Bombyx mori: one gene and its partner. The protein of the gene in region 2 purifies or fractionates together with the protein of the main gene of each other region. This does not show direct contact. Links are inferred from orthologs where the notes say so. Each region holds a gene or a part of one and is shown on either strand. Other genes may lie near its edges.

Region 1 (3,091 bases), on a different chromosome or scaffold from region 2:
TTAATGACAAATATCTAAGAGGAAAAAATTGTTTCATATATATTATTTTCATTTGTTATGCTGATGGTTTAATTCTATCTTAGCATCAGGAACTGACTAAGGGAATGTGGTTATCAAATACATACATATACAGTGAAAATCTATTATAACAACATCGAAGGGACTGCTCATATTCAGTCGTAACAACCAGTGATGTTTAATGTGTATCGTGCAAGTACAAACAAAGTACAAACAAATCGATAGTGAATTATTGGAAAAATATATTTACACAAAACGCAATTTTTCTTTGTTATTAATTTGTTTTTTTTCTTTGCAACATTTTGAAAGTTTCACGAATAACTCCACAAAGTTTTGGTGTGTCTTGTGTATAGATAAGTAACAAACTAACTGAAAAGATATGAAGAAGTGGGCTTTGACTCTACCGCATACACATTTTTGTTTCTAAGAATTAGAAAAGACCCTACACTAAACAAAATCCTATTGTTTTCTTTCCTGATTTTAATAGCCATTGAAGACAAATGTGGATACCTATTCAAATTGTTTACAATACAGCTTAGCCGGTCGTTCTAACAGATCTAATTCTCCGAAATATTAGTTAAATGTGGTCATTTTATTAGGTATGTCGGTATTAGCAATGTCGTATAAAGCAATGTTTTTAATAAGGCGGTCATATAGCATTCAGCCGGGACCTTTGTTCTAGGTTATTATAACCAGCATGTTGCTCAAAATGATGTCGCAGTAAACGGTTGTGACTGTATATTTATTTACTTTTTGTATTGACATTGATGGTGACAAACTTATTTTTGTGGTTTAACATTGCAATGGATACTGGCAATTTCTGGACACAATCAAGACTACCCACACAATTAGTTAAAAAATAAGCAGATGACAAAAATTTAAGTCAGTGATTTATGCTAATTATTTCTATTTCATAAAGTAAATTTTCCAATAAATATAATACAATTAAAGTTAAATGAAAAGTAATTTAAATGATAATATGAAAATTTAAATTTTATTGAAAATCACAATGACATGATGTACCTATTTTTATATAATTTACAACACAAACAAATTTACTTGGTTTAAATTAATTATTCTTTATTGCCATGGGAAAAATAGTTTAATGTTGCATACATAGTGATAATACATAAAGATGCTTGCAAATAGCATTTATTATGGTTTACTTTTCTTCACACCATTCATTCTCTTTACGAACCTGATCTTCTTCTGCAGCAGTGAAATCATTCTTAATGTTGAACGTTTTACGGATTTCTTCAGGAGTCTTTCCTTTGATCATGTTTGCTACAGTTTTACATGTGACATCTAATAAACCCTTGATGTCCAAATAATTTGCAGCTAATATTAATTCAAAGAGTGTGCCTTGGTCAACTTTCAAAAAATCAGCATCCCATGATGATATGTCATCAGTCCTCTTTTCCTTGTTTTCGTCATCTTCTGGTAGCGGAGGATCGTCTTTATGATAAGTAGCCCACTGAATAACTTTTTTGAGTATTGCAGAATTGACATTAGGTAAAGGTACAACTTCCTCTTCATCCTCTTCCATGCCTAAGTCTTCTAGCATAGTTTTGATAGTTACGGAGCATTTGGCGATTTCAACATCAACAACGAAGACCTCGTTGTCTGATGATTGCAACTTAATATTTGGCATCTAGAACAAAAGAGCGGTGGGAACGTAAATCATAAAACGACGGCTGAGAATAAGACGCCATTTTCCAATTTATAAATAGCGAAGTATTTACCTTGTTTTTTCAAGTATTTGAATGTTCACAATTAAGTGAAATTTATTTATCTTCAAACGAAAATGCCCTTATGTTCTGGAGATTTTTCCTTAAACCCAAACAGTGAATCAATGAGTGAACGAATGAATAAAATCATTAATCAATTTTGTTTTTTTTTCTGCTTTCGTTTAAATTTTTCTAAGGGATTTTATGACCTGGTAACTAAGACCTTTAGGTCATGTCTTTTTTTAATTTATATTCAGATTTTTATAAATTTTTTATTATGGAGTGAAATGAAATGAAGATGATTAATTTGAGACATTAATCAACTGGGATGAAATTAAATGAAATGAGTTGATATGGTATGAAATATAATCTCAGTAAAATGGTGGTTATTTACTAAGATTTTTTCAGTGGACTTTTTGGAGGAACTCGAGAAGTTACGTCCAGCAGCTTTGTTTCATTTTCCCACTTTTGTGCACTTTCACAGATATTAAACATTTAATAAACCACCGTTATTACACATTTAAACCTGAAGAAACACTAAATAGACAAAATAAAACAAATCACACAACTTCACTCCTCGCGCTCCCGCCAAAAGTACCTCCAACACCAATTGTTTTTTAAGGGATTTTATGACCTCATAACTAAGACCTTTAAGTCATGTCTTATTTTAATTTATATTCTTATTTTTATGAAAAATGATAATATGGAGATAAATGAAATGAAATGAAGATGATTAATTTGAGAAATTAATCAACTTAGATGAAATTAAATGAAATTTGATGATATGGGATGAAATATGATCTCAGTAAAATGGTGGTCATTTACTGAGATTTTTTCAGTAGACTTTTTAGAGGAACCCGAGAACTTACGTCCAGCAGCTTTGTTTCATTTTCCCACTTTTGTGCACTTTCACAGATATTAAACAGTTAATAAGCCACCGTTATTACATATTTAAACCTGAAGAAACACTAAATAGACAAAATAAAACAAATCACACCACTTCACTCCTCGCGTTCCCGCCAAAAAGTCCCTCCAACACCAACATTCATTTCCCACCATAGATACACACTTAGTTTCCCACACAACTAAAAAAAAAAAGAAACTTGTGAATGGAGTAAAGAAGAAATCTAATATATAAAATTCTCGTGTCACAGTTTTCGTTGCCATACTCCTCCGAAACGGCTTGACCGATTTTGATGAAATTTTTTGTGCTTATCCGGTATCTATGAGAATCGGCCAACATATATTTTTCATCCCCCTAAATGTTAGGGGTAGTCCACCCCTAAATTTTTATTTTTATTTTTTAGACAAAATTTTTAATTTCTATTTTTTTATGATACAGCATA
Region 2 (3,500 bases):
CTGATACTTAAACGGGTGCCGAGAAATGTTATGAATAACTTCTTTATTATGCCTGTTTATCTATTCTAATTTTCTGTTCTAACTCCTAAAATGAGTTTGAGGGCTGTCTAACAATGGCAATGACAACTAGCATTTTCTATATTTATTTTGTATTTATCTATTCTATACTAATATATAAATCTACAGTGGTTTTTATGGATGCTCCGCTATAACTACTGAACCATGCATCCGATCGACTTGAAACTTGGTATACATGTAGAAAATACATGTACTTAATGGATAGGCTAATATTTACATGAGCGTTGGACTCACTAATAATAATGACAATAAATAATAATGTTAATTTTAAAGGCCCAGCGAAGCGGGCGAGTACGGCTAGTAGTTAATAAAATAATATACAACACAAGCATCACAAAAATAATCTCTCAGAAATACTAGAGGTTTTATGATGTAAAAATATATTGGCTCTATATATTTTCTTGGAAACCGGTAAGTATGTTTGTACGGACTAAACAAATTCTCATACCTGCTAAGGACAGACACTGTAAAGACCGCATGGTACAAAGATGTTGCACGCCGAAGTCTCGCAGCTGCGAGCACCAGCGAAGGTACAGCGCCACCAGGGTCTGCATGGTGCTGATGTACCCCACGCCGATGTCCGTTATATGCACACATCTGGAGGGGACACAGGTTTTGTAGATTTATATTGAGTTTAAGAACTGTTTATTTTATAAATGCTGTTACCAACGCGTTTGTGATTTCTTTATGATCATTATTGGTGGTAGGACCTCTTTCTTGTGAGTCCATACGGGAAGGTACCACCACCGTGCCTATTTCTGCCGTGAAGCAGTAATGTGTTTCGGTTTGAAGGGTGGGCAGCCGTTGTAACTATACTGAGACCTTAGAACTAATGTCTCGACGTGGATGGCGGTATTTACGTTGTAGATGTATGTGGGCCCCGGTAACCATTTAACACCAGGTGGGCTGTGAGCTCGTCCACCCATCTAAGCAATAAAAAAATAAACAAAAATCACGGACAAAAATATATAGTTTAAAATAAAACACGCTCGAATGGCAAGCTTGCTGTAAAAGTATTTTTTTTATCCTGGTCAGCACACATCCTTAAGAAGTTAATTTTAAATTAAATTTATTAAAAATAAAAAAATTATTAAACTAGTACATTATCATTATTATTACCTTGTCATCAGTCTTTGATACGTACGCAAATTTTAAAGTTAATTAGACATTTTGAATAAACAAAAATTATGTCGAAAAATTCCATTACAATAGATGTTGGTCAAGGTAATAAGAACGTAGGGTAACATGGACTATATGAACCAGGGAAGAGTATATTTCAATAGAACGAAGAAGAATAAACGTTTTAGCCGTATTTAATATAAAAAAAAGGAATCAACGAAAAGTGTGTGAGAAAAGCTTGAGTAAACGATTACGCGTTACCTATCGAGAGTGAGCTCTTCGAGGTGGTTGAGGTCGCAGGCGATGTACTCGAGCGAGCTGTCGGTGACGCGCGGACACCAGCTCAGGTCGAGGCTGCGCAGGCGCGGCAGGTTCTCCGCCAGCAGCTCCACGCCCTCGTCCGTCACCTTGCTGCAGCCGCTCAGCGACAGCACCGTCAGGTTCGGCAACGAGTGCACTGCGCCAGCACAAACACGGCACGTTCAGTACATTCAACCAAGATTTTTTTTAAGGGATTTTATTAACGGCCGTCTGGTGTAGTGGTAAGTGACATGGTCACTACACAAGGGGGTCGCGGGTTCGAATCCCGCCTCCTCTATGCGTTCCTAAACTATTGATCTTAGTACAATTGTGGTTAGCGCTCCAAGGTTTCTGTCATAGTACCATCAACTTACAATAGATGGCGCGTGAATAGTTCTAAGAAATGTTTTTATATCATAGAATTAGCAATAAGCAGCGAAGGGCATAGGGCGGTGCTGTTCTAACTACAAAGTTACAGCTTTCATGTTAAACTTTACTATTAACAGTTGTCATTAAATGTTATTCTCTATATGATACGAAGGCAGTTTAACCCACTGAGTTTCTCGCCAGATCTTCTGTGGGTTACATTTCCAATTCGATGGTAGATTCTGCGAAGCACTGCCCTAACTAGGGCTAGTGTTAGCAATGTCCCAAGGTTAGAGCCCCGTGAGCTCACCTACTCGCTCGGTTACGTTGGCATAGCCTCTCAAGGCTACAAGCTTAGGTAGGGAAAAAAAGAGGGTAATAAAATGAAAATTAATGTTATCTTTACCGATATTAACAACACCATGATTGGTGAGTTCCCAGCAACTCTGCAGACGCAGGACGCTCAGCGATGCGCTCTGCTTTGGAGAGAAGTAACCGAGGGCTGCATCCGTGACGTGGTAGGCTTGCAATGAGAACTCGTACAGGGACGGAAGCAATTGTGCGACAGCTCCAACCTTCGTATGAAATACGAGTTATTAGTATGTAGTAGTATTTATCTATAATAATCTATACTAATACTAGTAATATTATAAAGAGGAAAGATTTGTTTGTTTGTTTGTCTTGAATAGGCTCCGAAACTACTGAACCTATTTGAAAAATTCTTAAACTGTTTGGAAACTACACTATTCCCGAGTGATATAGGCTATAATATTTTTTGAAAAAATTAGGGATCCTTACTAAAACTCCAATAATGTAACCCAAGGCGTAAAAAAATTACCTAAAATATTCTTTTCATCGTGTGCCCTGCGAAAACTATTGGTGATAGAATAAAATAATGTACTACGACTTTGTAGAACACATTATTATTAACAAAAAGTGTCGCGACAGCATATAGGTATTTCTAACTATTATAGTTATGCCTCAATAAGGGTTATTTTATTTAAAAAAATAAAACGTCAAATATCGTTGAAATTTTTGTTAAAGACCCGAGCGGAGCCGAAGCGGGCCGCTTGTTTTAAATAAAATTGAATGCAACTTTCTTATCACTAAACTTACTCAAAACAGTGTTGATGAAACGACATTTGATAGTGTGATTATTTACATTGACATATTATTACTTTTATTACAAGTTTTTCAATCGTGTCAAGTTTTAAAAGTCAATTGAATGATGACATAGCGAAGGCGTTAATAAGCAGTCTAAGAAATAATTCATCTTTGTATAACATTTGAAAGTATTTGTTATTTAGTTCTGGACGGCAATCGATTCCATAATTATCAAAAACAAAAAATCGTGGGAAATAAGCCTTTTTTTTAATTTCACAAAAATTTATACATCATGGTGAATAGACTCGAAGAGTAAAAACATTGTACTGTAGTTATCTATGAATTGAAGTTAAATACTTACAGCCTCATCAGCTATGTTAATGCAGTCAGTAAGCGTGAGTGATACAATTCGAGGTGTTAGACATGCCCATAATCCGGCTTCTGTTATTTCATTACATCCTGTTAGTTCTAACTCAAACAGTACCTAAAATGGACAGTAAAGTAAGTCTTCTGTAATGATAGATGCTTTACAA

What was found. The genes of interacting proteins can lie anywhere in the genome.
Region 1: the proteins of F-box/LRR-repeat protein 16 (region 2) and S-phase kinase-associated protein purify together in Homo sapiens (affinity purification with western blotting; 5 studies listed by BioGRID and IntAct, with this or other methods). This does not show direct contact. The link is inferred for Bombyx mori from reciprocal best matches to the Homo sapiens genes FBXL16 and SKP1.

Annotation. Positions count from the first base shown.
Region 1 is NC_085119.1:7,149,929-7,153,019, reverse strand, and holds S-phase kinase-associated protein, read right to left. Parts: upstream 1,908-3,091; 5' UTR 1,761-1,907; intron 1,670-1,760; coding exon 1,181-1,669; 3' UTR 501-1,180; downstream 1-500. UniProt on the Homo sapiens protein: Essential component of the SCF (SKP1-CUL1-F-box protein) ubiquitin ligase complex, which mediates the ubiquitination of proteins involved in cell cycle progression, signal transduction and transcription.
Region 2 is NC_085117.1:11,694,028-11,697,527, forward strand, and holds part of F-box/LRR-repeat protein 16, read right to left. Parts: intron 3,452-3,500; coding exon 3,329-3,451; intron 2,439-3,328; coding exon 2,270-2,438; intron 1,655-2,269; coding exon 1,459-1,654; intron 676-1,458; coding exon 527-675; intron 1-526. UniProt on the Homo sapiens protein: Substrate-recognition component of the SCF (SKP1-CUL1-F-box protein)-type E3 ubiquitin ligase complex.